Pelodiscus sinensis: one gene and its partners. The protein of the gene in region 2 purifies or fractionates together with the protein of the main gene of each other region. This does not show direct contact. Links are inferred from orthologs where the notes say so. Each region holds a gene or a part of one and is shown on either strand. Other genes may lie near its edges.

What was found. The genes of interacting proteins can lie anywhere in the genome.
Region 1: the proteins of H2AX (region 2) and PPM1G purify together in Homo sapiens (affinity purification with mass spectrometry; 4 studies listed by BioGRID and IntAct, counting the BioPlex papers as one, with this or other methods). This does not show direct contact. The link is inferred for Pelodiscus sinensis from reciprocal best matches to the Homo sapiens genes H2AX and PPM1G.
Region 3: the proteins of H2AX (region 2) and HNRNPR purify together in Homo sapiens (affinity purification with mass spectrometry; 3 studies listed by BioGRID and IntAct, with this or other methods). This does not show direct contact. The link is inferred for Pelodiscus sinensis from reciprocal best matches to the Homo sapiens genes H2AX and HNRNPR.
Region 4: the proteins of H2AX (region 2) and WRAP53 purify together in Homo sapiens (affinity purification with western blotting; 3 studies listed by BioGRID). This does not show direct contact. The link is inferred for Pelodiscus sinensis from reciprocal best matches to the Homo sapiens genes H2AX and WRAP53.

What each region holds. Positions count from the first base shown.
Region 1 is NW_027465901.1:418,908-426,792, forward strand, and holds the start of PPM1G (protein phosphatase 1G), read right to left. Parts: upstream 3,230-7,885; 5' UTR 3,082-3,229; coding exon 2,962-3,081; intron 1-2,961.
Region 2 is NC_134736.1:119,970-126,696, reverse strand, and holds H2AX (histone H2AX), read right to left. Parts: upstream 2,368-6,727; 5' UTR 1,860-2,367; coding exon 1,431-1,859; 3' UTR 596-1,430; downstream 1-595. Other genes in the region: DPAGT1 (UDP-N-acetylglucosamine--dolichyl-phosphate N-acetylglucosaminephosphotransferase), read right to left, coding at 2,665-2,730, 3,153-3,308, 4,046-4,133. UniProt on the Homo sapiens protein: Variant histone H2A which replaces conventional H2A in a subset of nucleosomes. Nucleosomes wrap and compact DNA into chromatin, limiting DNA accessibility to the cellular machineries which require DNA as a template.
Region 3 is NC_134735.1:23,169,593-23,177,695, reverse strand, and holds the start of HNRNPR (heterogeneous nuclear ribonucleoprotein R), read right to left. Parts: upstream 3,230-8,103; 5' UTR 3,160-3,229; coding exon 3,082-3,159; intron 1-3,081. UniProt on the Homo sapiens protein: Component of ribonucleosomes, which are complexes of at least 20 other different heterogeneous nuclear ribonucleoproteins (hnRNP). hnRNP play an important role in processing of precursor mRNA in the nucleus.
Region 4 is NC_134734.1:10,097,361-10,105,139, reverse strand, and holds the start of WRAP53 (telomerase Cajal body protein 1), read right to left. Parts: upstream 3,230-7,779; 5' UTR 3,105-3,229; exon of another isoform or gene 3,022-3,104; intron 2,922-3,021; exon of another isoform or gene 2,589-2,921; intron 2,453-2,588; 5' UTR 2,341-2,452; coding exon 2,135-2,340; intron 1,857-2,134; coding exon 1,758-1,856; intron 1,340-1,757; coding exon 1,231-1,339; intron 782-1,230; coding exon 693-781; intron 474-692; coding exon 383-473; intron 267-382; coding exon 134-266; intron 1-133. Other genes in the region: uncharacterized protein LOC102454093, read right to left, coding at 4,249-4,358, 4,549-4,690, 5,027-5,145, 5,400-5,447, 6,545-6,644, 7,546-7,779. UniProt on the Homo sapiens protein: RNA chaperone that plays a key role in telomere maintenance and RNA localization to Cajal bodies. Specifically recognizes and binds the Cajal body box (CAB box) present in both small Cajal body RNAs (scaRNAs) and telomerase RNA template component (TERC).

The DNA.
Region 1 (7,885 bases), on a different chromosome or scaffold from region 2:
TAAACAGTGAGGTGGCAAAATTTGCAGATGACACCTAACTGCTCAAGACAGTTAAGACCAAAGCAGACTGTGAAGAGCTTCAAAAAGATCTCACCAAACTACGTGATGGGGCGACAAAATGGCAAATGAAATTGAATGTGGAAAAATGTAAAGTAATGCAAATTGGAAAAAATAATCCCAACTATACACACAATCTGATGGTGACTAATTTAGTGACAACTACTCAGGAGAGAGATCTTGGGGTCATTATGGACAGTTCTCTGAAACCATCCACTCAGAGTGCAGTGGCAGCCAAAAAAACAAATAGAATGTTGGGAATCATTTAAAAAAGGGATAGAGAATAAAACAGATAACATCTTAGTGCCACGATATAAAACCAGGCTATGCCCACATCTTGAATACTGTGTACAGATATGGTCGCCTCATCTCAAAAAGACATATTGGCATTGGAAAAGGTTCAGAAAAGGGCAACAAAAATTATTAGGGGTTTGGAATGGGTCCCATATGAAGAGAGATTAAAAAGATTTGGACTTTTCATCTTAGAAAAGAGGAGACTAAAGGGAGAAATGATACAGCACTATAAAATCATGACTGGTGTGGAAAAAAGTGAATAAGGAAAAGTTATTTCCCATTACATAAGAACTAGGGGTCACCATATGAAGTTAATAGGTAGCAAACAAAAACAAAAGGAAGTTTTTCTTCACATAGTGCATAGTTGGCCTGTGGAACTCCATGGCAGAGGAGGTTGTGAAGACTAGGACTTCAACAGGGTTCAAGAAAGAATTGAGAGAAATCCATGGAGGTTATGTCCATCAATGGCTATTAGTCAGAATGGGTAGGAATAGTGTCCCTAACATCTATCAGCAACTGGGAACTGGTGACTGAAGAGGGATCACTTGAGGGGTACCTGTTGTGTTCACTCCCTCTGTGGCATCTGGCATTGGCCACTGTCAGCAGACAGGATACTGGGCTAGGTGGACCTTTGCTCTGACCCAGCATGGCCATTCTTATGTACCTAAGAGGGAGTGTTACTAAGAAATTCCAGGTAGTGGTGAGAGCCTTGCTTTGTTCATGACTCTGGGCAGCCAGACCCATTTTTACCATGGTTATAGTTCAGACTGTGGACTATAAATCTAACTTGTAGGCTATGTCTACAGTCACAGCTTCTTACCCAAGTATGGCTGTTCTTGTGCAAGAATCCGCTGAGCATCCACACTGCCGGCCCGCAGAAATGTACAGTATGGGGTGGTAAGAGAGGGCTTCTTGCGCAAGAGCTATGCTCTTTTTTAACGGGTGTAACCCCTCTTGTGCAGGAACTCTTGCATAAGAGGGCAGTGTGGACGCTGGGCAGAGATTTCTTGCACAAGAAAGCCCTATGGCTAAAATGGCCATCAGAGCCTTCTTGCGCAAGAAAACGTCCACACTGCCATGGGCGCTCTTGCGCAAAAGCACAGCTCGCACATGGCAGTGTCGACGTTTTCTTGCGCAAGACCTCTTGCACAAGAACCCTTGCGCAAGATGTTCTTGTGCAAGAAGCTGCCAGTGTAGACATAGCCATATGGTGGTAAAACCCCAATTGGATCGAGAAGCCTTCCATACACCAGGTGAGCAGGGAATTTTGTAATGTAAGCAAGACTCTTGAGATTTTAGATACACCGACACAAAATAATAGGAGATTTCATCTTAATGTGTAGTTAATCCAGCTGGTGACAAAGACTCTAAAGCCCAGGTCCTCATTGATTTATAGATGTTTAAGGCCAGAAAGGACTATTAGATCCTCTAGTCAGACCTTCAGCATGACACAGGCTATGGAGTCCAACACAGTTACCCCTGTAGTGAGCCCAATAATTTACATTTGACTAAAGATGGTTGCTTTTCTGGAACATATCTGGATATGAACACATCAAGGGATGGACAATTCATTCCTGTCTTTGGCAGTTTGTCCCAATGGTGATTCCTTACTCCCATGTTAAAAATGAGCAAAGGTGGGTAAAAGAGAGTAGCAGAAATGGATAAGACATTTGTAATGGGGAAAGCAAAGAGAAAGCTAGTTAGGAGGCAGTAGCGTGATAGGACACAGTACAGTTCAGGGCTACACTACTAATACATCCCATTCGTTACCAGCAGAATATTGAGAGCTTGGCAGGGAGTTCAGGGCGAGCTATAAATATGCCCCAGCCTTGAGAAAGTATGCCAGGGGGAGCAAATGTAATGCGCACAGGTGCGACCGAACCTGGCACTTTCGCAGCTTGAGCACAAAGCCGGCCAAGGCTGCAGAGCAGATTCACTCTCTGTGAGGGGTCTCGGTGCCACCACAGGCTCCAGGAAGGGGCAGCGCGGGCCAGGCCAGAGCAGCCAGGGCAGAGAGAACGGCACGTATGAAGCAGCACGGAAAGGGGGCTCTGAGGACAGACAAGCCCGGCTCAAAACGGGCCCTGCGGCGCTCCCCGCCAAAGCCCTGCGTCCCGCCTGCTGGCCCCGCTTCTCCCCCACGCAACCTGCCCTCCGAGATCTTGCGGGCCCCTCTTCTCCCCCGCGAGCCCCGCTTCTCCCCCCCCGCGTGACCCGCCCGCGAGCCCCGCTTCTCCCCCCCCCCGCGTGACCCGCCCGCGAGCCCCGCTTCTCCCCCCCCCCGCGTGACCCGCCCGCGAGCCCCGCTTCTCCCCCCCCCCCGCGTGAACCGCCCGCGAGCCCCGCTTCTCCCCCCCCCGCGTGACCCGCCCGCGAGCCCCGCTTCTCCCCCCCCCGCGTGACCCGCCCGCGAGCCCCGCTTCTCCCCCCCCCCGCGTGACCCGCCCGCGAGCCCCGCTTCTCCCCCCCCCCGCGCGCCCCGCCCGCGAGCCCCGCTTCTCCCCCCCCCGCGCGCCCCCCCCCCCCCCCCGCTTCTCCCCCCCCGCGCGCCCCGCCCCCCCCCCCCCGCTTCTCCCCGCGCGCCCCGCCCCCCCCCGCCCCGCCGCTCACCTCCATGGAGACCCGCCAGCCCTGCATGGCGCTGAAGCCGAAGTGCAGCGGGCGCGGCCCGGCCCCGGCGCCGTCCCCCGAGCTCTTCACCGTGTTGGGCTGGGACAGGTAGGCGCCCATGGCGCGCGGGCTGCCCGGGGGCCGGGCCCTGGGGCCGCGCGGGACTGGCGGGAGCTGGCGGGGCGCGAGCCGAGCGCGGGCGGGCGGGCGGCGAGGGACGGAGGAAAGGAGAGAGGGAGGGAGGCGGAACCAGCCACCACAGAGCTACCGGCCGGAACCAGAGTGGCCGGAAGTACCCGCCATAGAGTCTCGGGGGAGCGCGCGCGAGCGGCCGGAAATACCCGCCATAGAGTCTCGGAGGAGCGCGCGCGAGCGGCCGGAAATACCCGCCATAGAGTCTCGGGGGAGCGCGCGCGAGCGGCCGGAAATACCCGCCATAGAGTCTCGGGGGAGCGCGCGCGAGCGGCCGGAAGTACCCGCCATGGAGACGTTCAGAGAGCAGAGCGGCCAACGCGTGTATTGGAGGTCTGGGTGCCGGGAGAGCTGCCGCCAGAGGGAGGCTGGTTGCCGGGAGACCTGCTCCGAATCTCCCCGGGTGTCCACCCCCCCCCGCCCTGCGCCCCTGGGGACCCTGTGTCTGTCTCTCCCCCCCCCCCCCGCCCTGTGCCCCTGGGGACCCTGTGTCTGTCTCTCCCCCCCCCCCGCCCTGCGCCCCTGGGGACCCTGTGTCTGTCTCTCCCCCCCCCCCCGCCCTGCGCCCCTGGGGACCCTGTGTCTGTCTCTCCCCCCCCCCCGCCCTGCGCCCCTGGGGACCCTGTGTCTGTCTCTCCCCCACCCCCCCGCCCTGCGCCCCTGGGGACCCTGTGTCTGTCTCTCTCCCCCCCCCCCGCCCTGCGCCCCTGGGGACCCTGTGTCTGTCTCTCCCCCCCCCCCCGCCCTGCGCCCCTGGGGACCCTGTGTCTGTCTCCCCCCCCCCCCGCCCTGCGCCCCTGGGGACCCTGTGTCTGTCTCTCCCCCCCCGCCCTGCGCCCCTGGGGACCCTGTGTCTGTCTCTCCCCCCCCCCCGCCCTGCGCCCCTGGGGACCCTGTGTCTGTCTCTCCCCCCCCCCCCGCCCTGCGCCCCTGGGGACCCTGTGTCTGTCTCTCCCCCCCCCCCCCGCCCTACGCCCCTGGGGACCCTGTGTCTGTCTCCCCCCCCCCCGCCCTGTGCCCCTGGGGACCCTGTGTCTGTCTCTCCCCCCCCCCGCCCTGTGCCCCTGGGGACCCTGTGTCTGTCTCTCCCCCCCCCCGCCCTGTGCCCTTGGGGACCCTGTGTCTGTCTCCCCCCCCCCCCCGCCCTGCGCCCCTGGGGACCCTGTGTCTGTCTCCCCCCCCCCCCCCCCGCCCTGTGCCCCTTGGGACCCTGTGTCTGTCTCTCCCCCCCCCCGCCCTGCGCCCCTGGGGACCCTGTGTCTGTCTCTCCCCCCCCCCGCCCTGCGCCCCTGGGGACCCTGTGTCTGTCTCTCCCCCCCCCCGCCCTGCGCCCCTGGGGACCCTGTGTCTGTCTCTCCCCCCCCCCCCGCCCTGCGCCCCTGGGGACCCTGTGTCTGTCTCTCCCCCCCCCCCGCCCTGCGCCCCTGGGGACCCTGTGTCTGTCTCTCCCCCCCCCCCCGCCCTGCGCCCCTGGGGACCCTGTGTCTGTCTCTCTCCCCCCCCCCCCCGCCCTGCGCCCCTGGGGACCCTGTGTCTGTCTCTCCCCCCCCCCCGCCCTGCGCCCCTGGGGACCCTGTGTCTGTCTCCCCCCCCCCCCGCCCTGCGCCCCTGGGGACCCTGTGTCTGTCTCTCCCCCCCCCGCCCTGCGCCCCTGGGGACCCTGTGTCTGTCTCTCCCCCCCCCCCGCCCTGCGCCCCTGGGGACCCTGTGTCTGTCTCTCCCCCCCCCCGCCCTGCGCCCCTGGGGACCCTGTGTCTGTCTCTCCCCCCCCCCCGCCCTGCGCCCCTGGGGACCCTGTGTCTGTCTCTCCCCCCCCCCCGCCCTGCGCCCCTGGGGACCCTGTGTCTGTCTCTCCCCCCCCCGCCCTGTGCCCCTGGGAACCCTGTGTCTGTCTCTCCCCCCCCCGCCCTGCGCCCCTGGGGACCCTGTGTCTGTCTCTCCCCCCCCCCCCGCCCTGCGCCCCTTGGGACCCTGTGTCTGTCTCTCCCCCCCCCCGCCCTGCGCCCCTGGGGACCCTGTGTCTGTCTCTCCCCCCCCCGCCCTGCGCCCCTGGGGACCCTGTGTCTGTCTCTCCCCCCCCCCGCCCTGCGCCCCTGGGGACCCTGTGTCTGTCTCTCCCCCCCCCGCCCTGCGCCCCTGGGGACCCTGTGTCTGTCTCTCCCCCCCCGCCCTGCGCCCCTGGGGACCCTGTGTCTGTTTCTCCCCCCCCGCCCTGCGCCCCTGGGGACCCTGTGTCTGTCTCTCCCCCCCCCCCCGCCCTGCGCCCCTTGGGACCCTGTGTCTGTCTCCCCCCCCCCCGCCCTGCACCCCTTGGGACCCTGTGTCTGTCTCTCCCCCCCCCCGCCCTGCACCCCTTGGGACCCTGTGTCTGTTTCCCCCCCCCCCGCCCTGTGCCCCTTGGGACCCTGTGTCTGTCTCTCCCCCCCCCCCCGCCCTGCGCCCCTTGGGACCCTGTGTCTGTCTCCCCCCCCACCCGCCCTGCGCCCCTGGGGACCCTGTGTCTGTCTCTCCCCCCCCCGCCCTGCGCCCCTGGGGACCCTGTGTCTGTCTCTCCCCCCCCCCGCCCTGCGCCCCTGGGGACCCTGTGTCTGTCTCTCCCCCCCCGCCCTGCGCCCCTGGGGACCCTGTGTCTGTCTCTCCCCCCCCCGCCCTGCGCCCCTGGGGACCCTGTGTCTGTCTCTCTCCCCCCCCCCCGCCCTGCGCCCCTTGGGGACCCTGTGTCTGTCTCTCCCCTCGCCGCCTGTGCCCTTGGGGACCCTGTGTCTGTCTCTTCCCCCCCCCCCGCCCTGCGCCCCTTGGGACCCTGTGTCTGTCTCTTCCCCCCCCCCGCCCTGCGCCCCTTGGGACCCTGTGTCTGTCTCCCCCCCCCCGCCCTGCGCCCCTTGGGACCCTGTGTCTGTCTCTCACACCCCCCCGCCCTGCACCCCTTGGGACCCTGTGTCTGTCTCCCCCCCCCCCGCCCTGTGCCCTTGGGGACCCTGTGTCTGTCTCTCCCCCCCCGCCCTGCGCCCCTGGGGACCCTGTGTCTGGTCTCTCCCCCCCCCGCCCTGCGCCCCTGGGGACCCTGTGTCTGTCTCCCCCCCCCCCGCCCTGTGCCCCTTGGGACCCTGTGTCTGTCCTCTCCCCCCCCCCCGCCCTGTGCCCTTGGGGACCCTGTGTCTGTCTCTCCCCCCCCCCGCCCTGTGCCCCTGGGGACCCTGTGTCTGTCTCTCCCCCCCCCCCCCGCCCTGCGCCCCTGGGGACCCTGTGTCTGTTTCCCCCCCCCCCGCCCTGTGCCCCTGGGGACCCTGTGTCTGTCTCCCCCCCCCCCCGCCCTGTGCCCTGGGGACCCTGTGTCTGTCTCTCCCCCCCCCCGCCCTGCACCCTTGGGACCCTGTGTCTGTCTCCCCCACCCCCCCGCCCTGTGCCCCTTGGGACCCTGTGTCTGTCTCTCCCCCCCCCCCGCCCTGCGCCCCTTGGGACCCTGTGTCTGTCTCCCCCGCCCTGCGCCCCTGGGGACCCTGTGTCTGTCTCCCCCCCCCCCCGCCCTGTGCCCCTTGGGACCCTGTGTCTGTCTCTCCCCCCCCCCGCCCTGTGCCCTTGGGGACCCTGTGTCTGTCTCTCCCCCCCCCCCGCCCTGTGCCCCTGGGGACCCTGTGTCTGTCCTCTCCCCCCCCCCCCGCCCTGCGCCCCTGGGGACCCTGTGTCTGTTTCCCCCCCCCCCGCCCTGTGCCCCTGGGGACCCTGTGTCTGTCTCTCCCCCCCCGCCCTGTGCCCCTGGGGACCCTGTGTCTGTCTCTCCCCCCCCGCCCTGCGCCCCTGGGGACCCATGTGTCTGTCTCTCTCCCCCCCCGCCCTGCACCCCTTGGGACCCTGTGTCTGTCTCCCCCACCCCCCCGCCCTGTGCCCCTTGGGACCCTGTGTCTGTCTCTCCCCCCCCCCCCGCCCTGCGCCCCTTGGGACCCTGTGTCTGTCTCCCCCCCCCACCCGCCCTGCGCCCCTGGGGACCCTGTGTCTGTCTCTCCCCCCCCCCGCCCTGCGCCCCTGGGGACCCTGTGTCTGTCTCTCCCCCCCCCGCCCTGCGCCCCTGGGGACCCTGTGTCTGTCTCTCCCCCCCCGCCCTGCGCCCCTGGGGACCCTGTGTCTGTCTCTCTCCCCCCCCCCCCGCCCTGCGCCCCTTGGGGACCCTGTGTCCTGTCTCTTCCCCCCCCCCCCCGCCCTGCGCCCCTTGGGACCCTGTGTCTGTCTCTTCCCCCCCCCCCCCGCCCTGCGCCCCTTGGGACCCTGTGTCTGTCTCCCCTCCCCCCCCGCCCTGCGCCCCTTGGGACCCTGTGTCTGTCTCCCCCCCCACCCGCCCTGCGCCCCTGGGGACCCTGTGTCTGTCTCTCCCCCCCCCCGCCCTGCGCCCCTGGGGACCCTGTGTCTGTCTCTCCCCCCCCCGCCCTGCGCCCCTGGGGACCCTGTGTCTGTCTCTCCCCCCCGCCCTGCGCCCCTGGGGACCTGTGTCTGTCTCTCCCCCCCCGCCCTGCGCCCCTGGGGACCCTGTGTCTGTCTCTCTCCCCCCCCCCCCCAGCCCTGCGCCCCTTGGGGACCCTGTGTCTGTCTCTCCCCTCGCGCCCTGTGCCCTTGGGGACCCTGTGTCTGTCTCTTCCCCCCCCCCCGCCCTGCGCCCCTTGGGACCCTGTGTCTGTCTCTTCCCCCCCCCCCCGCCCTGCGCCCCTTGGGACCCTGTGTCTGTCTCCCCCCCCCCGCC
Region 2 (6,727 bases):
TATAATGGATGATGCTTAGATAAATGTTTATTCACTGCTATAAATCAACACTAATTGCATTCATTTAAAATTGTCAGACCAAATTAACCAGAGCAATGGTGTCTACAAATGCAACGTATCATGAATTTTCTTTGATCAACTTAATTTCCTTCCAAGCTTAGCAGCAAACTCCATAGTGGAAGAGAATATGCATTTCAACTAGTGATTAATCCCCTTCATTTTATAAGCCAGTACGAATGTATTGTAGAGGCCTTTCAAATTGTGAAATGCAGAGATGGTGTTTTGTAAATGAAACCATGTTTAAATATCTCTAACACCTACTAACTATTTTACTTTCATGTGGAACTGGTTCCAGGGCCATGTAATTTCTTATGTGCATGAAATATGCCCTTGAAATCCTCCAAATAGCAGGGATTGTGCCTGACAGCTGTCCAAACTGTGTATTTGATTTAATTTTGTAGGTACAATTACATTTTCTCACATTTGAAAAATGTAATTGAACCTCCACCCTTCAAATTCAATGCACAAACTAGGAAAATGTAAGTTTTGAGCAGTGCTCTTTTCCATGCTGTGTACAACCAATTACTAAGATTCATTTTTTTGTTGCTGGCCACTATTTTATTACACACAGTACATTTTCAGGGATATACAAGCAATGAAAGGCTACTACAGCAGATTTAGAAGTATCCAAATTAAAGGGCATGGCAGAAAGAAATACTGGATGTTTTACTAACAAGTTTTGTACTAATTCAAATTGTCTCTGGTTTGATTATGTAGGTGGAGCAAGCTGCTGTGTGCAGCTGCTGTCTTGCAACAGATCAAAGTTGGTTTCACTGCAGCATGAAACTAGTAAATAGTAACATTTTAGAGTACACCAATACAGTAGTGTAATCGCTGCTAAGTGAAAGTCTCCCACTGTGGAGTCCGTGGGCTCCGTAGTTTACAATACTTAGGATGGTTGTGCTTGATCCCAGACAAGATGTTCTCAGCCTTAACATTAAACGGGTAGAGCCTCAGATCGGTGATACGTGGGACCAGGCAACTAAACAGTCTGTGCCACAGCTGCTTCCTGGTGCCAGCGTTTCGCAGTTCTCCGGGCACCGTAACAGGACGGACTCCAGCCTGGCCGCAAGCAACGCTCGGGGCGCGGCCCCACCTGTGCACGTGGAGCCCGCTCGTCCCGCCTACCAGCGTTACGGCTCAGTTCCCAGAAATACGGAAGCCCCTGGCGCTGGCACCGGGCAGATCACGGGGACCTCGCCTCGTTCCCCTGGTGTGCAGCGCGCGGCCGTGGCCCGGGGAACGCCTGCCTAGCGGGGCGCAGCGCAGCGAGGGGGCCGCCCCTCCAGGAAACCCGCCCCGGATCCGCAGCTCTTTCGCTGAGCCTGGGGCGGCCCTGAAAAGGGCCTTTGGGGGGGGCGGGCGGGCGGCTAATACTCCTGCGACTGCTGCCCGCCGCCCTTCTTGCCGCCCTTGGCCGGGCCGGGCCCGCCGCCCGCTTTCTTGGGCAGCAGCACGGCCTGGATGTTGGGCAGGACGCCGCCCTGCGCGATGGTGACGCCCCCCAGCAGCTTGTTGAGCTCCTCGTCGTTGCGCACCGCCAGCTGCAGGTGCCGCGGGATGATGCGCGTCTTCTTGTTGTCGCGCGCCGCGTTGCCCGCCAGCTCCAGGATCTCCGCCGTCAGGTACTCGAGCACGGCGGCCAGGTAGACCGGCGCGCCCGCGCCCACGCGCTCGGCGTAGTGCCCGCGCCGCAGCAGCCGGTGCACGCGCCCCACGGGGAACTGCAGGCCGGCGCGCGACGAGCGGGACTTAGCCTTGGCCCGGGCCTTGCCGCCGCTCTTGCCGCGGCCGGACATGGCGCGAGAACAGAAGGGGGCAGGAAAAGGACGCACGCGGCCCAGCGATCGCCTCCCACGTCAGCAAGGGCCACTGCCTGCCACAGCCAACTGCCCCGGCGCCCGCCGCGCGCGCTTTCTTTTATAGCCGCTGCGCGATGACGCTGCATTCCGCCATTGGCTGGTCATTCAGATTCTCTCACGGATTGGTTCGGCTCAGGAGCTGGCCAAACGGTATGCATTTATTGGCTGCCCGAACAGGCCAATCAGAAGGCAGGGCGCCAAATTCAAACGGAGCCCAAAGCCTAATAAGGAACCGAGCAGCCTCATTCTCGTTGCCAGTGTCCAGGGTTCCACCCCGTGAACTGGCCCTTGGCAGGGGCTGCCACTGTGCGAGCATCCAGGGTGAATCCATTCTGCCCCGCCCCCGGGGGCAGACCCCCATTCTGTAACGTGTGAGTAGGATGCTCTCCCCCTTTGGGCAATTGCTTGAGTGACAGAACAAATAGACATGGAGCCCTCTTCCCCTGCCCACAGGTAAGAAACTTCACGTCCTATTGGCATCTGGTCCTTGGTTTAACGACACTGCAGGTCCACAACACTCAGGTAACATTAACACCCGCATCCGACCAATGGCCTCTGCCCAACCCCATCACAGAAAAAAATTCAGCTGAGAGAGGCCAGTGTAAGAGTCTTTACTCACATCTGGGAAGGGGGCCTGTGACTCTGAGACAGAGCGAGATTCCTGCTGCCATGTGGCAGGGAACTGAAAAAGTAAAAGGTAGATCAGGAAGTGCTGGAGTTTCCCTTACCACTGGCAGCGCAGTCAAACATCATAGAACAAGCGTACTAGTTGGTACCGGATCAAAAAGGCAATGGTGCTGCCCACTACCTACAGAGGAAAAAAATAAGGAAGATCATTGGAATCCATTTGTGCTAAATACTTGACCGAGTGGTATAAAGACAAGATCCCTTTGTCAAACAAACTACATCATATGACCCACCTCTGTAAGTAACACAGAAGTTAATTTAAAATATTTCCATGCCTACTTTCAAAGGGGTGTGTGGGAATGAGAAGACTGGGCAAGATTATTCTCTCCGAGGAGCAGTATGGTTCTGTATTGCAGAGCCATAGCTAACTCAGGCAGGTGAGAGACAGCCCCCGCTTTAACAAGCTACTTGGTATGGTGGAAGTAAAGATGTAAAGATAAGTGAAGGGGTGAAATCAAAATGTTCCCTGTGCCTGAGAATTTTAGTGTGGACCTACATCCACAGTAGAGTAGGCCCTCCTGTCTGCGGGAGCATTTGCCTGACCTGGATAAGAAGCAGCAGAACAGTGAGGGTTTGCTCTGAGGTTGGTCCAATAAGCTTTATAACAAAGTTAATGAGCGTCATGTTGTTGCACTCTGTGTATTCTTCATCTTCGTCTAATTTCTGTCTCACATCCACTATATGAAAGGTTTCTGATACCTGGGGAAGAGAAGTATGTTAATCGATCTTTAATTAGATACATTATGGCTGCGTCTACACTGGCATGATTTTTCACAAAGAGAGTGTCTACACTGTCATGTGCTTTTGCGCAAAAGCATCCGTGCCAGTGTAGACGCTCTCTTGCGCAAGAAAGCTCCGATGGCCATTTTAGCCATTGGGCTTTCTTGTGCAAGAAATTAACGTTGCCTGTCTACACTGGCCTCTTGCACAAGAATACTTGCACAAGAGGGCTTATCCCTGAGTGGGAGCGTCAGAGTATTTGCACAAGAAGCACTGATTTTGTACATTACAATGTCTGTTCTTGCACAAATACTCGCAGCCAGTGTAGACAGGTGGCAAGATTTTGCACAAAAGCGACTGCTTTTGAGCAAAATCTTGCCAATGTAGACACAACCTATGTGTTTACTACTTAGAGCAGGGGTGGGCAATAACCCCTTTGGATGGGGGCACCACTTCATGAATTTTAATTCATGGTTGCAGACTGGCTCTGGCCCCTTAGGAGGGACGGAAGCCTTGGGCAGAAAGGGGCGGATCCCTCTGGGTGGGGAGTGGAAGACTTCATGCACACCCCCATTCCCAGGCCAATTGGGACCTAGGAGTGCGGAAAATCATTCACTGTTCAAAACAGCTGGTGGTTCCCTCTAGGCACTGTGTGCCCGTGGCATAGAGTGTGTAGTTGATAACAGAAGACAATTTTTACTTATCTCTCAAGGTACCTTTAGAATATACTTTCCCAGTGCTGAAAGACTTTTGGTTTTGAATTTGGAGTAGCTCATTTCCAGCTTCCCTGTTCCAGGATTGAGCCTGAAAAGAACATTGAAATATTAGTCCAGTTGCACCAAAGAGGCTAAATCTCTCTATAAAAGCGGGGGGGGGGGGGAAGACATCTGGAGTAATCCTATACATGTAGACTACGTCTACACTGCAGGCTTCTTGCGCAAGAACTGTTTTGCGCAAGAGTTCTTGCACAAAAATTCTTGTGCAAGAGCACGTCCACGCTACCATGTGCTTTTGTGCAAAAGCAAGAGCTCTTGCCCAAGAGGGCTTATTCCTCGTAAGGAGAGGAATAACTCTTGCACAAGGAGCCCTCTGTTCCGACACTTTACTGTAAATGTACTTGTGCAAGAACGCGTGTGCAGTGTAGATGCTCCACAAGTTTTTGCGCAAGAACAGCTGTTCTTGCGCAAGAAGCCAGCAGTGTTGACGTAGCCATAGTAGTCCTATAGGAGTCTCAGATGTGTAGCCACTCAAATAAGGCAGGGGCCAGAAGAATGTTTTGTGGGTAGTGTGAGGGGCAGTCAGCTGGGTTGCAGAAAGTTGTGGCAATTTCAAGGCAACATAGAAATTCCCACACATAGAAAATTGACAGTTCGTGTAGCATAGAACTGATAACAGAACCTTAGAGATGGCATAAACACTTCACTCTTCCCTGTGTTTTATAACACTACTAAGGAACAGTGTTTCAACTCTGCTCTTTACAGGGCTATAACATTATTTGTTAACACAGTTCTAACTCCATCTACAAAGCATCACCCAAACATATTAGGGACAGCTGCACTGTGAGTAGATCACTCAGTATGGCAGATTTTACATCACACACACAGACTTGGTGTTAGATACTGGTTAATTCAACAGTTGAGTAACTGCATGAATTCCTATTGTTTACTCAACTATTCTATAGGCCCCAGGGGCGGGGCCAGTTTGCTCTGCTAAATACTTTACTGAGTGATATGCCGACAAGGTCCCTTTGTCAAACAAACTACAGTACATCATGGTACTTCTGTGTTACTTACAGAGGTTGGTCATTTGCAGGAGTTAATTTAAAATATTTCTATGTCTACTTACAAAGGGGTGTGTGGGAATGAGAAGACTGGGCAAGATTATTGGGGTGCACTCCTGGGGAGCACTCTAACATTCTGCACTGCTGCCTCGGTATAAAAAGGCAGCAGCATGGGGTGCCAGGCAGGAGCCAGTCCACAAGGGGAGCCACGGAGTGGCAGCAGCCCTGTCTGCAAGGGTCCAAACTCCCCGCACACAGAGGCTGCTGGAGAGTGGGAAGAGGAGGAAGAAAGGCAGCCAGGAAGGAGCTTCTGTCCACAGCAGCCTGGGTTGCCCTGAAAAGAAGCTGGCCCGGCAGCAGCCCCTGTCCACAATGGATCCAGGCTTACCACAGACAGAGGCGTAGGGAGCTCAGAACCTGGGCCTGCAACGAGCAGACTACTTCACAGCAGCCTCCCCTGCCCTCTTCACCCCACACTGGTATGTCTAATAAAGGCAGAAATGGGAGGGGAGGGGAAGAGGGGGAGGGCAGCACCGCATAGCCAGTGCTGCGGTGAAAACCAGCTTTTAAGCCAGCTCCCTCCTAGCATTGGCTCCTGTTTCCCTCCTCACCCCCTGATACAAGACAGCAAGCGGGGGGGGGGGGGGGGGGGGGGGGGGGGGGAAGAAATGCAAATAGTAAAGAAGATTACCAATGAGCCTAGGCTTATCTGTTCATTGTATACTTGACTTCTTTATATCCCTAGTCTGTATTAAGCTTTCATAGTACTAAAAGGTCCCATCATTAGACCCCTGCGTGGATATAAAATTTGCATCTGTGTCCATAAAAATGAGCTGCAGATATTTGCCTCCACATTCACAAATCTGGATACCCACATATATATATAAAGCAGATATCTGTAGATTTTTAGGGCTCTTACAATCAGGACTCTACAGTTCACACCTTCTTTCTAGGACTGGGTATACAATAACTTGTGATGGGGGGCCGCTCCCAAGATTTTGGAAAGCAGCCAAGAGCTGTACTCTTCCATGGTATTAATGGAGGAGAAGTGGGGTCTGGGAAGGAGGTTGGGTACAGAAGGGAGCTTGGGGTAAAGGATTGGAGTGCAGGAGGAAGAATGGAGTCTGGGAGGGAGTTTGGGTGAATCAGGTAGTTGTGACCTAGGGTAGGAGGGGACTGTGATCTCAGGCAAGAGATTAGGGTGCCAGATCTGGGAGGGAGTATGGGTTCATGTGGAGTAGCGGGGCAGGAGTGGTTGGGGAAGGGAGAGGCTGAGGTGCCAGAGGCAGGTTCTCCCCAGATGACATGCCAGCCTGCCTGCAGAGCTAAAGACTTACAGAGCTTAAAGTGTTTTTGCCTACTCGGCCATGTGCTTGAGTGTGAGCAGGAGGGTTGTCCTTTGTGACTGCCTGTTATTCACACAAACAGCTCCCATTGGCCAGTGTCTGTCCAGAAACTGGCCAATAGGATTGTGCTGGGGGTGGGAGCAGCGGCTGAATCTCCCCCCCTCCCATCTGGACTCAAAGAGAAAGCACCCCATAGCTGTGTTTCTGAGTGGGGTGCAGGGCTCTTGGGCAAGCAGGGGAGCCTGCTGGTCTCCGCAGGCCATATTTTGCCC
Region 3 (8,103 bases), on a different chromosome or scaffold from region 2:
CTTTGCAGAAGCTGCACTTTCCTTTATTCTCCACTTCTTTGCCTCCCTCTCCAACTACCTATTTGGCCGCATTCTCACCCTTTCACCTTTTCTGTGTTACTCCCCCAGCCCTCTCCCGCCCCTGAACTCCCTCTCATACCCCTACCCCACACTCTCTCCTTCCACCAAACGCTCTTCCAGACCCTACCTTCCTCACCCCATCCTTCACCCCACTTCCCCCCCCAAGATACTGCATCCCTATCACACTCACTGGCAGCCCTGTCCCACACACTGGGACAGGGCTTCATTTTTTTCCCCACCCCAGAGCCGAAGGGGGTCCACAAAATCCACTAACTGCAGAACTCCAGAAAAGTAAATCTGGCCTATGGGAAGCCCTGAACCTCAGTACCTGACCCTTCCCCTCAGGAGGCTGGTGTGCCAGGTGAGGTGTCTCAGTTGGGGTCAACATCAGTGAAGGTTGGGGGGTTTGGGAGGAGTTTTTTTTTGCTTCTCACTTGTGTGATCCCCAACTGATTTTTCTGTGGGTCAGTGACTTCCAACCCAAAAGGTTCCTCACCCCTGCTATAAAGAAAGAAAACACTGAAACCTGTGTGTTGGACATAAACTTCATTTTAAATAAAGTAAAACATTGATAAACTAACACAAGCAAGTTAAAAAGCTTAATCTGTTTAATAATTTAAATGAAACCATTCTCCCCAGCTGCAGCACTAGCAAAATGGCTTGGGTACAATTATGTAATTAACAGTGAATTTCCATTAGCAACTGGTACTCCAGGGAAAGATTTGCATTGACTCAGGTGGTCCACGGGGAGCCAAGTGGAAAGCCCCTTCCCCCAGAGAGAGGAGCACAGCCCAGGTCAGGAGAGTTAAATTTTGGCCCACCACTTCAGAAGGGTTGCTGACCCTGGTGTAGTCAATCAACTAGCAAAAGCTTATAGGTCAATGCTATAGACTATATACATTTCTCTCTCTCACACACACACCCACCCACCCCACACAGCCCAGACCAGTTCCTGCTCACACCAGGTCCAGCTCAGTCCCCACTGTATCAGAGACAGCAACGCAGAGCAACAGGTAGCCAGTCCACAAGGAGAGCTGAATCAGAGGCAGTGGTATGGACTGGCAAGCAGCTCCTCCCAAGTGGGGCCAGAGCATACTGGCAGTGGGCCCCAGCCCCGGTGACTACAGGGCTGCCAGCCCTAGGGACTACAGAATAGTTGAGTAACTTATGAAAATTCACAAGGTTATTCAACTATTCAATTAACCAATATTTAACATCCCTACTCTGAACTTCATTTTACTAGCCTCTCACTCCACCTCCAAATGGGTCAGCCAGCTCAAGTTACAAATAGGGTGACACTCAAATTAGGGGGTTGGATGTGGAGGAAATTCAAGTTAGTGACAATACTTGAGTTACCACTCATGAACTCTGCCGTGAAGACATGTGCTAACATGTATGAATTTTACCTTCCAGAAGGTCACTTCAGTTCTCTATCTGTAATAGTAATTTATCTACCACTCAGTATTAATGACAGAATAAATCCATTAACATGTCTGGTGTACCCAAATATTACTGAGATTCACATCATAACTAGGGATGTGAATAGCTAAAGGGTTAAATGGTTACCCAGTAAGCATCACCCTTAACCAGTAATGCTTACCCGGTAACAGTCAACAGGTACCAACCAGGAGCAGCTTAGCCTCTATCAGAGGGCTGCTCAACTCCTGTGGAGTTCCCCACTGGGTCAGCCCCCCTGCCTACCTTCTCTTTAATGGATTAAATATTGTGTTAGTAGGATGTTTAACCATTTAACCAAATGGGATTTTACATCCCTAAATAATTAACAGCAGACAGACGATTGAGTAGGGATATAAAATACCCAAAAAGAACAGCCACTTTTAGAATAAAGAATGCTATTAAGTAGAATTTTGCTAGTCAGCAAACCTTATAAATTTACACAGAAATCAAGTCAATTCACAGAAAGGTTTAAAAAACCCACTAATTACTGACACTTTCTTACTCCTACAGAATACACCATGTATGACACTAATAATTGTTCTGCAGTATGTCAAACAGAAAAATGTGTGGCCATCAATGATACCCACAGCACAAAAGTATCAAAGCTGTTAAAAATGTTTTTGCCCAGTAATGGGAGAAAAGACAAAAAGAAGATACAAAGAAAAGTCTAAACAACTTCCTCTAAATAAGCCTATGCTGAACCATAGGTCAAGTAAGGCTACATTCACAGGGTAATGCATAACATGGCCACTAAAACACAGTAATTAAATCCACTTTAGAAATGTGTATAAGTATTTAATAAAAAATTAAATCCAATTTAGATCCTGTATGTCTAATAAAAACGTTAGTGGATAGAAGTTTGCTAAAGTTCAGCACAGAAAATGCAATTTCATATTAGCGAGATTCTTTCATCTTTCTAGCCCAAAGCAAGGCGTACCACCTAGAACCAAACACAAAACGCGACCTAACCGCTATTAAACTCGGGCAGTGTAAGTTTTAGCTTCCTAAAGCCGAAGCTAGCGAAGCACATCCTGGGCGGCTTTACAGCACGGGGGTCGCCTGCTTACAGCAATGCAGGCGGGTCAGCACGAAGGCTGGAGCCTCGGTACTCCCAGCCCAGCCGCGCACGCGGTGTTGTGCCCAGCGGCCACGGGCTGTGCCTCCAGGCAGCTTTGAGCGGCCACGCGCGGCCCGCGCGAGGAAGGGCGGGGGGGGGGGGCTGCGCTGGACGCGCGGCAGACACAATGCCAGGCGGGCGCCAGCCACATGCAGGAGCCGGCCCACGTGCGGAGCGGAGCGGGCCGCGGGCAGCGCACGGCCCCAAGCGGCGCCCCGTGGCCTCGGGCCCGGCTGGCGCTCTACGAGGCGGCCCACGCGCTGCCGCCCAACCCCGAGCGCCATCCCCAGCCCAAACCAGGCCCCGCGGCGCCTCCGGAGCGCGGCCTAGTCCCGGCCGCCAGGGCCCAGCGCCCCGCCTCGGCCGAGCGGGGCTGGCTACGCACCCGCGGCGGGCCAGCTCTCGGCCAGCCCCCCACCCCCCGGCGGCGGCCCCGCGGCACTCACCGGAGCGCGGCCTACGCGGCGCGGCTGGGGCCTAAGCAGCGACTGCAAATGGCGCGCGCGCGCCTCCTTTCGCCTCATGGACGGCGGCGCGACCCCGGCAAAACGCGGGGTTTCCCAGAACTGCTTCCAGGGCTCCCTGCATTAGCCAATCAGCGTATTGGGAGCCAGACGAGCAGCAAGGCGGAACCTATTAGCGATCGGAGGCGAGACACGATTATTCTAGGGGACCAATTAGAGAAGACAGAGGCCGACGCGCCCGCAGAGCTAGGGCCCGAGATCGGAAATTTAAAGAGGCAGCTGCGCCTCGCTGAACAAAGGGAGGGGCCGCCTCCACCGCTGGGCGGGGCCAGGGCTGTGAAGAGCCGCTCGCGCTCGCGCCCGCGCCCTACGGTTCTCACAGGTACTGAGCCAGGGCACCGCCCCGGGCTGGAGGGCAGGGCAAGGTGCGGGGAGCATGGAGGAGAGGGGTGGGGGCGGGGCAAGGTGCGGGGGGGTTCGGGGTGGGGGCAGGGCAAGGTGCGGGGAGCATGGAGGGGTTTGGGGTGGGGGGCAGGGCAAGGTGCGGGGGGGTTTGGGGTGGGGGCAGGGCAAGGTGTGGGGGGCATGGAGGGGTGGGGGCAGGGCAAGGGGTGGGGGGCATAGAGGGGTGGGGGGCAGGGCAAGGGGTGGGAGGCATGGAGGGGTTCAGGGTAGGGGGCAGGGCAAGGTGTGGGGGGTATGGAGGGGTTTGGGGTGGGGGGCAGGGCAAGGTGCGGGGGGGTTCGGGGTGGGGGCAGGGCACGGTGTGGGGGGCATGGAGGGGTGGGGGCAGGGCACGGTGTGGGGGGCATGGAGGGGTTTGGGGTGGGGGACAGGGCAAGGTGCGGGGGGTTCGGGGTGGGGGCAGGGCACGGTGTGGGGGGCATGGAGGGGTGGGGGCAGGGCAAGGTGTGGGGGGCATGGAGGGGTTCGGGGTGGGGGGCAGGGCAAGGTGCGGGGGGTTCGGGGTGGGGGCAGGGCACGGTGTGGGGGGCATGGAGGGGTGGGGGCAGGGCAAGGTGCGGGGAGCATGGAGAGGTTTGGGGTGGGGGGCAGGGCAAGGTGCGGGGGGGTTCGGGGTGGGGGCAGGGCACGGTGTGGGGGGCATGGAGGGGTGGGGGCAGGGCAAGGTGCGGGGAGCATGGAGAGGTTTGGGGTGGGGGCAGGGCAAGGTGCGGGGGGGTTCGGGGTGGGGGCAGGGCACGGTGGGGGGGGCATGGAGGGGTGGGGGCAGGGCAAGGTGTGGGGGGCATGGAGGGGTTTGGGGTGGGGGGCAGGGCAAGGTGCGGGGGGGTTTGGGGTGGGGGCAGGGCACGGTGTGGGGGGCATGGAGGGGTGGGGGGCAGGGCAAGTTGTGGGGGGCATGGAGGGGTGGGGGCAGGGCAAGGTGTGGAATGCATGGAGGGGTTCAGGGTAGGGGGCAGGGCAAGGTGTGGGGGGCATGGAGGGGTTCAGGGTAGGGGGCAGGGCAAGGTGTGGGGAGCATAGAGGGGTTTGGAGTGGGGGCAGGGCAAGGTGTGGGGGGTTTGGAGTGGGGGCAGGGCAAGGTGTGGGGGCATGGAGGGGTTCGGGGTGGGGGGCAGGGCAAGGGGTGGGGGGCATGGAGGAGCTCAGGGTAGGGGGCAGGGCAAGGTGTGGGGGGCATGGAGGGGTTCTGGGTGGGGGCAGGGCAAGGTGTGGGGGTATGGAGGGGCTCAGGGCAGGTGGGAGCTAGGAGCTGAGAGTGCAGCCACTGTAGCCCACCTGTCAGATCCCCTCAGCTGGCCGAGCTGGCTGGCCACCTGAGCTGTGGGTTTATTATCGTGAGTACTGATTCCAGCCCAGAAGGCCTGGAACCTTGTGCCCCTCCCCCCAGTTCTCTGGTAGTGGGGACAGGATTGGGCTCCTGTGAGGCAGAAGGGGTGGGATGAGCACCCAACATAAGAATCTTACAGTGTCCGGCAGCAGCTAGAGTCCTGCCCCCAGCTAGCCACTCTCCTACTGCACACCACCTTACTTTCACTTCTAGTATCTTGTTTGCAACACTCTTGTTAATGCATCCCAGAATCATGTTTGCCTTTTTTTTTCTTTTTTGCAACAACGTTACACTACTTATACACATTAAGGCAGGGATGAGCAAGAGGCAGCTAGCCAGCGGGATCCAGTGGCCACCTTGCCAGCACCCTTACTACAGAGCAGTTGCAGCTGCTTTAAACAGTGGTCTGCTAATTGATATGCAATCTGGGCAGGGAGTAGGGATGTTAAAAAGTGTCTAATCAGATAGTTGACAAGTTGTTTAGTTGATAAAGGGGGGAAACTGCAGAGTTGCAGCAACCTTGCTGCAGCTCTGCCTTTTAAATCTATTAAGTGTTATCAGGCTGTTAGACATTTAGGCTATGTCTACACTGGCATGATCTTGCGCAAGAACTCTTTTGTGGAAGAATACTTGTGCAAAAACTCTTGCAGAAGAGAGCGTCTACACTGGCATATGCGTTTGCGCAAGAGCATCCATGCCAGTGTAGACACTCTCTTGTGCAAGAAGGCTCTGATGGCCATTTTAACCATAGGGCTTTCTTGTGCAAAAAATTCATGTTGCCTGTCTACACTGGCCTCTTGCGCAAGAACAGTTGCACAAGAGGGCTTATTCCTAAGCGGGAGCATCAGAGTTCTTGCACAAGAAGCCCTGATTTCATACATTAGAACGTCAGTGTATTTGCGCAGTGTAGATAGGCAGCAATTTTTTGCGCAAAAGCAGCTGCTGCTTTACCACATCTTCACAGTGGTTAGTTGATAGGAGCAAATGCTCTCCTTGACTTCCCGTGCTCCTTGCAAATAGAGGAGTACCCGTGCTGGCCAGGGGTACCCTCACCATTTGATTTAGTGGGTTTTATTAGACCTGCTAAATGGAATACCAGAAGATTGATCTCCGCTGTGGCAACTGGAGATGTAACCTCAATCTTCAGGGAAAATTGTTTTTAAAAAATGAAACTTCTGCCAAAACGCTAGCATGCTATGGTCTTTGAAGTTCACAAAACAATCCCTTCTTGCTTACATATTATCTTCACAGCTTTAGGATGCCAAGCAAATCTGTGAATCAGCTAAAATAGTCATGTTCTTGTTTCAAATATTAATAAATATTTTTCTGGTACTGGAGCATAAAAAACATTTACTTAGTCTTATACAATATGTCTGGGATGTCAGCTCTTCAGCTGACTGATACTGCACACACCATAGAACAGTAAAATTAAGTAACAGAGCAAAACAGACTGCAAACAAACAAGTGGCAATACCATGAATGGTGAGTGAAGCTGCTGCTTGGGGAAGCAAGCTCCCCAGCCTGTGGCCTCTTTCATACGCCACATCTTCTGTCTCAAGCCCCACTATGTCCATCCTCTCCTCCTACGGATGTTAAATATTGGCTAATCAAATATTCGATTAACCTCATGAATTCTTATCAATTACTCAACTATTGTATAGTCCCCAGAGATGGGGCTGGCAGCCAATGCATTCCAGCCCCACTCTCAAGGAGCCCCCTGCCTCTCCACCTTCCATCAGAGGCAGCAGCGCAAGGTGCCAGTTGGGAGCTGGTCCGCAAGGGGAGCCAGTTTAAAAACCAGCTCCTCTCATGGACAAGGTGCCTGTTGCCCCACGCAACTGCTTCTGATACAGAGGCAGTAGCATGGGGTGGCAGCAGCCTCTGTCCAGTGTGGGGCTGAGCTCCTGGACCTGGAGAGAGCCAGATCTGAGCAGGGCTGCAGATCAGCCTGCTAAAAAATTTACAGGCAGGAGGGAAAGGAAATGCATGTAGTCCATGGCATTAACCTATAAGCTGTTTCTTATTGGTTAATTGACTACACTACTACATCCCTATCTCCTTCCTATCAAATCTCTGAACCCAAATGTAGAAAATGGCATTGCAGGGCCCCACTCTTCTGCAGTTTCTTGTCAGATAGTGAAGACTAGACATGCAGAAGGTAATAGAAAACATGGAAATGGCTGAGGTGCTTAATGACTTTTATTTTGAATTTCACCAAGGAGGTTGGTGGTGACTGGATGCCTAACATACTGAATGCTAGTGGAAATTGTAGCCATGTAGTTAAAACGTAGTTTTAAGCTAAATAATGTGCCTCAGTGTACTTTGCCAGCTACCCTTTCTAAAAGCAGAAAGGACCTTTACCTTACTTTTGGTAAAGGTTCACCAGCCCAAATATTGTAACTAAAGCTCATTCCAAGGTAGGGATAGTGTGACAGACCGGACTAGGCTCAGAGCAAATTGCTCAAATTTGGGGCTCCTTACAGCTCCCAGACTGGAGACCTTCCCAAATAGGCCACAAACCAGTCCCACGGAGCGCTTCAGCTGCCTGCCTGGCCAGCCAGAAGCCTCACGAGCAAAACCCCTCTGACTCCTCAGCAATATCTGTGCCCCAGATGGCCCTGGACCCCAGGTGAGGGGTCTTAGAGCCCAATCTCACCTACCCCAAACAAGTTCTGTCTGGTTCCAAGAAACGAGCCACAGATCCCAGGTTTACCCTCTGGCTCTTACCCACAAACCACGCTGAGCCAATCCTTTAGAATCTACCATCTAAAGGTTTATTACTACTAGAAAGAAAAGCGTGAGAGTGAGGTTGTTAACGTATCATACATTACATGCGTCGAATCTCCCAGTTCTTGATGCAGGCTTGCAGCAGAGATGTTATAACTGCTAGCTTAAAAGTCTTTGGTGTACATCCTACATCAGGATGGGTCCACAGTTCTTTCCGGCTCCTCCATCCCTGCACTCTTGCCTCTGGAATGAAGAGCTGAGCTGAGCACCCAGATGGAGTCAGCCACATGGCCTATTTATACGCCTCCCTGGCTTCTTCCAAGCTGGAGGGAGTCACAGGCCAGGCATCCAGGTTCTCTCTCAGGTAGGTCTCTGGTACTTAAGAGACCTATTGTTTGAAACAGCCTTGCTCATTCGCATGTCCATAGGTTGAGCTGCCTTGCCCATTGCTCAACCACATACAGAGAAACTTTCAATATCCA
Region 4 (7,779 bases), on a different chromosome or scaffold from region 2:
AGCTGCAGCATCATCCCTCCCTTGATCTCTACAGGCCTCTCCTGCCCCGCCATTAACACTGAAGCCTAATGACATGTTACAAAGCCAGCACTGACGTGCCATCAGTAGGTGCGGTGCCAGGGGACACGCTCACCAAATGTTGGACGGCTCTCGCACATGCGCCCCGGGCGCTCCGTGTCGAACACCCGCACAGCCTTGTCAAACCCACAGAACAGCTGGGAGCCGTCGGGGGTGAAGCACAGAGAGTGAGCGGCTGTTAGCTCATCCTGGGGACAGATGCACAGAGAGAGGTGTCAGGACTCCTGAGTTCTACCTTGGCTCCGGGAGGGGTTGAGGCCTAGTAGTTAGAGCACAGGAAATGGGAACCAGGCTCTGTACCCACCAGGTGGTTGTAGCAGCGGAACGTGGCCCGCAGTTCCCCATGGAAAGCGTCCCACACATGGATGGGGTTGTCTCGGCTGCTGCTGGCAAAGCTGCAGGATCACAAGCGGGAAACATGAGTGTGCAGGACAGGGGGACAATGGTGGAGCCAGCGCTCCAGAGTGTGGACAGGCCACATGTCCCATTCCCCGCCCCCTTGGGCCAGACAGTCCCTGCCCAGGGCCTGATGAGAAAGGCTTGCACTCTCTCTCAGTGCAGTGGGGTAGACAGCCCGTCAGTAGGGGACGCCCTTTGCAGGCTGCAGCATTTACAAGCAGGTGGGGGGATCCGCAGAGCTCATCAGCGGGAACCAGCAATAGTCATAAACGGTGTCTCCCTCAGCCATTCGCAGCACAGGACTCTGGGAGGAGACAGACACACAGATATGGACAGTCAGGCAGCAAAAGGTGCATCACGGCATGGTGGGGCAAGAGAGAACAAACAGAGCCAGAACTCCTGGTTCTGGGGAGTGAGGACTAGTGGTTAGAGCAGGGGGCTGGGAGCCAGGACTCATGGGTTCTCTTCTTATCTCTGGGAGGGGAATTCAGGCTGGTGGGGGAGCAAGAGATTTTAATTCTTCAGACATGTAAGCCACGAGCAGACTACAATTTGGGGGAACACCCCAGCCCCTTTACCAGCTGACTAGCCCCATCCTGCCTGCCAGGACAGCTATGGCGGGGGGCCCTCCATTTAGAGGCTGTCCCCCACCCACACACCCATGGAACCAGCACAATCCCACCCCCACAGGGAGCAACTCTCCCTCGACAAGCTCCTCCTGCCCCACTCCCCAGCAGTGCCCCTCCCTCCTACCATCTCAGCCACGTCCCCCCACTCCGGGCCGTACAGCTCCACGGGCAGGTTGTAAATGCGCAGGGTGTGATCAGCGCTGTTGGTCAGGAGACAGGAGCCATCTGGGGCCCTGGAGAGAGGAAGGCAGAGCCAGGCCATCAGGGTGACCCCTCTGCCCTAGAGCTGGGGAGAAAACCCAGAAGTCCTGGATCCCAGCCCCCACTGCTCTAACCCACCAGCCTCTAGTCCCTGCCCAATGCTCGGCTAGAAATTCCCTGTGCCTCAGTTTCCCCACTCACTCTTCTGTACTGAGGGTATGAGCAGCACCCATCCCATTGTGGGAAGCCCTCAGCCCTGCCCAGCAACCAACACAAGGGGGTCCCAGTCCAGGGAGTTAGAGGAAACAATTTTGGGGCTCTGTGCTGCACTGAGAGTAGCCTATTTCCACGAGGGGGTGCTATGCCACCCACAGCCCTCCAGGGGCCTCCAATCCCAGGGCAGAGTCCCCAGATATCTACCCTTCCCCAGGCCCCAGCCCAGCCACCTACCACTTGCAGCCCTTCAGGAAGTTCTCTGGCACCTGGCTGTATTCGCCCCAAGCGCCTGTCAACAGCTTGGGGGGAGCCAAGAACTCATAGCCTGGAAGGCTGGGAGGGGGAAAAGAGAGGAAGACACTGGTACAAAGGAAGCCCAGGACACCTGCTCTAACTCAAGCAGCTCCCACTGCCCTCAGAGCCAGAACCCAGACGTCCTGGCTCCCAGCCCTTACCCCCAGTTTTAATGAGCTAGTCTCTGGTTCACACAGCAGCTCAAAACACCCCTCCCCAGCTCAGCCCCCACAATCAGAACCAGATGCTCCCCGTGCCGCTGAGATCCAAGATCAGCAGCTGTATGTGTGGGGCCCCACTTGTCACCAGGTCCTTACTAGCCCTCGTCTTCCCATGCCGCTTCTTGCCCTCCATCCTCCACCGCTTCATCCCCGTCCTCTGCCGGCCCCTCACTCTGCACCCGCTCTGGCGCAGATACTGGGGGGGAGCTGTTCTGCCTGGCCAGCTTGGCAGGCAACGCTTGGGACCCGGGGTCCCCTCCAGTGGGGTCATCCACAGTATCACCGGGCATGCCCGGCTCCATAGCACAGAGGGTTCAGCTGGCAGAGCGCTCAGGGATGTCCGTCTTCTGGCTCCAGCTGGAGCTGCCCAGGGTGCCTGGGGAGTCAGTCATTCCCAGAGCGCAGGACGGGCACCTGCAGAGCCAGGCGAGAAAGAGTTAATGGTGCAGAGCAACTGCCAGAGCCTGGGAAAGAACCCAGCTGTCCTGGCTCCCAACCCCCCTGCTCCAACCACCAGCCCCCACTCCCCTCCCAGAGTTGGGGAGCGAACCTTTGAGTCCTGGCTCCCAGCCCCGCCTCCAAGACCAGGTGTCTCCAAGTTCCCGGCTCTTACCCACGATGGGACGGGGGAGGGGAGAGGAATGGCTGGATGGAAGAACCCACTGTCTAGGGGAGCGCGGAATGCATGGAAGAAACTATTCTCGGGGGGGGGGTGGAATAGCCCACTCTCTCCGGTGGAGGGAAGGATAGGTGGAAGAGTACACTTTGTCCTGGGGTGAGGAGGATGGAAGAGTCCAGCTATTTCGTGGGACTAGGGGAAATGGGTTGGTGGAAGAGCCCAATCTTTCCCATACGGAGGCCCCGCGGGAAGGTCCACTTTTTCCCGGGGACGTCTGGAAGAGCCCACTCCCTTAGGGAGGGGGAGGGTGAAAGAGCCCATTCTTCCTCGGGCGGGAGGGAGGAGGATGGAACAGCCCACTCACTCCTGGGGCGGAGGGAGGTGGAATAGTCCACTCTTTGCGGGAGGGCGTGGAAGAACACACTATCTTCGGGGCTCCGCCGTTACCTCCCAGCAGCACCAGAAGCTCAAGGGCTGACGGCGGCCATAGTAGCAGGAGACCCCGCCCCCTCGCACACATCTCGCGAGAGGTGCCCGGAAACGCTACAGGATCCGAACCATTAGCTCCCACGCCCCCCACTGAAATCCCGCGAGATCTCAGCCCCTGAGCCGAGCCCCGTATGTGGCCCAATGGAGGTGGAGGGCGGCTGGGGTGTGTCTATCCGGACTGCGGGGCAGCTGGATCAGGGCGTGCGGGGGCTTGGCTGGGAGGGAGGGTGGTTGGCGCGGGGGACATAGGCCTGGGGGCCATGCAGCATCCCCTTTGGGGGGAGACATTGGTAACGTGCAATAATTGTTTTATTAGCAGGTAACAAGCCAACAGGAGAGAGCCCCCCAGTCCCAGCTCCAACCTGGGACTGTAACAGTGGGGGTGGGGGGATCTTCTAAGGTGCCACTGCAGCTCTCCGGATGCTTGAGTCCCTTTCTCCCAGGCCGGCTGAGTCCCTCCACAGCTGCCTGGATCCTTTCCCTCAGGATGCCTGAGTCCCTCAGCAGCTCCCCAGATGCCTGGGTCCCTTTCTTACAAACCAGCCCAGTTCCTCAGCTACTTCCCAGATGCCTGGCTTCCTTCCAGGCTGGTCAAGCCACCTGGGCTAGCACTGTTTGTGCTGTACCCATGTGGCTGCCAGGCATCTCTGTGGCCTTGGATTTTGTACAAAAGCCAGATGAGAACCCAGGAGTCCTGGCTCCAAGCCTCCCTCCTCCCCTGCCCCACTTCTAGTCCCCACTCCCTTCTCAGGTCCCAGAAGTTCTGGCCTCCAGCCCCACCGTTGCCAGGATTGTTCAAAGGCCTCCATGATGCAAACTCCATTTGCAACCTTCACAAAGTTTTTTTTTGCCTGGAGTTTCCTTAGTTGTATTGGTTTGTTTCAGGGCAGGTGTGCTTGTCAGCGGCCCCTGTTGGCCAGGGTGGAGTTCTGCTGCCCTCTGGTGATGAACCCCTTTCACACACTCCTGATGGGAGGTTTGGCTCCTGAATCTCTGGTGGCTGAATTCCTCTGCAGCTCCCTGGACACCAGTGTCTAAGTTCTGCCCATCCTGGCCAAATCCCTCTGCAGCTCTCTGGATGCCTGGGTCTCATGGGTGGGCCCTACAGGCGGAATAGGCCCAGGAAGGTCCCATGGGGGCTAAGGTCCAGGGATGCATTGGCTCGAGGGATGCGAAGGCTTAGTCGGTCTCCGCGCTGGAGTTGGAAAACACCTGGGGGGACATTATGGGATGTGTGTGGAGAGCCCACCTCCCAACCTGCTCAGGGACAGATCTCCCCATTCCCTGTAAATCACTCCCCCAGTGGCTGCTTCTCCCTTTTTCCCACTTGCCCCCCCCCAGTGGTCCTTGCCCTGCACCCCCAATAGCTGGAGCCTGCCTCCCAATGCCAGGATTCCCTCACCTGCGCTGTAACAACTGTTGTAGGCTTGCTCCAGCTCACGGGGCATGCTCTGCACACAGCGCAGCAGGATCTGCCCCGGGCCTCCGAGTGGTGCCCGCCACAGCACCTGCCCCATGGTGAATGTAGGGTCATGGAACAGCACCTGGGGGGCAGGGGAGAGGATTGGATTGGCTGTCACTGGGGAATGGGGCAGGGGACTTGTCACCTCAGGGGGGTGCCAGTTCCCATCTGACACCAGGGCAGGAAATGGCTGGCTCAGGGGAGCAGGCAATGGGGCATGGGGCCTGTCCCCTCTAGGTGATGCTGGCGCCCATCCAGCCCCAAGGCAAGGATTGGCTGGCCCACGGGGTGGGCAATGGAGTACAGGGCCTATTCCCTCTAGGTGGTGCTGGCTCCCATCCAGTCCCAAGGTAGGGATTGCTGGCTCAGGGGTGGGCAATGGAGTTTGGGGCTGTCCCCCATAGCAGGGGGCTTTTACCTGGCTGTAGATGAGGTACAAACCCGTCTTCTTCACAGTGATGTCTGGGCCACTGATTTCCAGTGCCTGGCCCTGCTGCAGGAAAGGCTGCCACCAGATCTCAGTCATGTCCCCTTCGTCTGCAAAGCAGATGGGAGGCTGTTAGTGCCCCTTTGCTCCCAGCTCCTCCTGATCTACCCTGTTGGAGCCAGCTCCCCTCCTGGGACAGGAGAAAACCTAGGAGTGCTGGCTCCCAGCTCCCTCCTGCTCTAACCCACCAGCCCCTACACCTCTCCCAGAGCCAGGGAGAGAACCCAGGAGTCTTGATTTTCAGTGTGGGTCACCCATAGAAGGAGGGTACTGTGGTAGGGTGTTGAGGGGGTTGATGACTCACCATTGGTGGAGCAGTGGCTGGGGGCCAGATGCAGAACCGATCGTTTCCCTGGGGATAAGTTGGAGAGAGAGAGACTGTGACTTGCCAATTTCCCTCCCCATAACCTGCCCTTCCTCTCTGTTTGCTCTCCTTTACCCTAGGCTGCCAAAGCTTGGATCTGCCACTGGGAACTTAAACAGCCCTACCAGGTGGCACTTGATCCCACTGCTCACACCAAGCAGTGTGAGCCAAAGGGCTTTAAGTCTGGTGTCCCCAGAACTGCCAGGTTACAGCCCAACCTCAATGCTAGGTACTATCCCCAGAGCATCTCAGGCGGCACCACGCAAGGTCCATAGTTTCACAGAGATAATCAGTGAGGGATCCCATCTCTGCCACCATCTCAGCTTGGGGTTCCACTGTGGGAGCAGGGAGTAACAGCTCTTACCAGAAATTGACCTGAGGTCAAGAATTGGAAGCAGAATCCAAGCCTGATACCTCTGCCATCAGGGATGACTCCAGATTAAGAGAGGTGAGATCATCATGTGGTGCTTCCCTCCCTGAGTTTGTTACTTTCCATTCTCTCGTCCTCCCCCCCCCCCCCCCGCAGTCAGTCCCTGCCCTAGGGGCTGGATGGGAGATGGTGGTCCTTAGAGAGGAGAGGCTCTATCTGTGTCCCATCTTCTGCACACAGGGGCTGTGTCTACATTGGCATCCCTTTCTGGAAAAGGGATGCTAATGAGACACTTCGGAATTGCAAATCCGCGGGGGATTTAAATATCCCCCGCGGTATTTGCATTTACACGGCTGCCGCTTTTTTCCGGCTCGGGGTTTTTGCCGGAGGATCCCTTATTCCTACTTGAAAGTAGGAATAAGGGATCTTCCGGAAAAGGGCTTATTTTCCGGAGAATTGCGTCTATACTGGCGCTTTTCTCCGGCAAAAACCCCGAGCCAGAAAAAAGCGGCAGCCATGTATATGCAAATGCTGCGAGGGATATTTAAATCCCCCGCGGATTTGCAATTCCAAAGTGTCTCATTAGCATCCCTTTTCCGGAAAGGGATGCCAATGTAGACACAGCCAGGGAGAAGAGGACACACACACATAGATTGACAGCTGCAGCCCCTTGTCCCTTCCTCCCTCTTGCCTCCCGCCAGCCCCAGACACTGACTATGTGGCTGTCGCTGGTCCTGGTCCCTTGAGTTCTCGGAGAACCTCTTCCCTCTTTGCCGCAACAGGGTCCCCAGGAGCAGGCCTGGCTCCCCGGACTCCTGAAAGAACGACGGACAGGAGAGGGTTAACCCCGGAACAGAGCTATTGCTCTAACTCCTACACGCCACTCCCTTCCCAGAGCTGTGGAGAGAACCCACAGGAGTCCTGGCACCCTGCCCTCCTGCTCTAACCCACCAGCCCCCACTCCCTTCCCCGACCCGAGCAGAGCACCCGGGAGTCCTGGCTCCCAGCCCTCCTGCTCCAGCTGTCCCCACGCCCCTCCCGGATGTGGGTGTAGCTGGGCAATGCTCGTTGGAAGTGGAACTAAGGAAGCGAGGCCGCTGTTCAGCTCTGTAAAGATTACCCAGACCTGCAGGGCAGTTACACAATGTGCAGGGGCCCGGGGAGGGGGTCGGGGGGCGGCCTGGGCCTGGGTTCCCTCCCCGGCTCTGGGAGGCGGTGGGGGCCGGTTGATCTTAGCAGAGGGTGGGCGGGGAGCCAGGGCGCCTGAGTTCTCTCAGCAGATCGTGGACAGGAGTGGGGGCTGGGAGCCTTCCCCTCCCCCTCGCGGGGTTTCCCAGAGCTGTGGGTCGTTTCCTCCTCCTCCGCCCGCGCTAACGATCGGTCCGGGCTTTGCGTTTGCGGCTTCGCATGTCCCCCAGCCCCGCGCCCACCCCAATGGGGGGGACCCTCAGTTTTTTAACCCTTCTGGGGTCTTCCCTCGTGGAGAATAAGGGGAGAGCGAAAGCAAAGCAGCGCCTCGGATTTTCCCTGGTAAGATGCCCCCTCCTAGGGCCGGGGAGAGAACCCAGTCCTGGCACCCAACCCCCCCTCTAACCAGCAGCCCCCACTCCTCTCCCAGAGCCGGGGAGAGAATCCAGGAGTCCTCCCCCCCCCATGTAACCACTTGACTCCCTTGCTCTCATAGGGCCCCCTGTGAATCGGGGGGGGGGTCCTCACCTGAGTCACTTCTGGGGATTGGGTCTCTCCTCTCCTGGCAGCCGCCAGCTCCCCCCGCAGCCGGGCCAGCTCCCCCCGCAGGGCCCCAAGGCTGGCCTGCTGCACTGTGAGGGCCATGAGACAGGCTAGCACCCCCAGGGCTGCACCTCCTCCCAGCCACAGCGCCCCCAGAACCTGCCACCCTGAGGCTCCAGCCATGGGGGGTGAGAGTTGCCTCCCCGGTGTAGCCCCCCA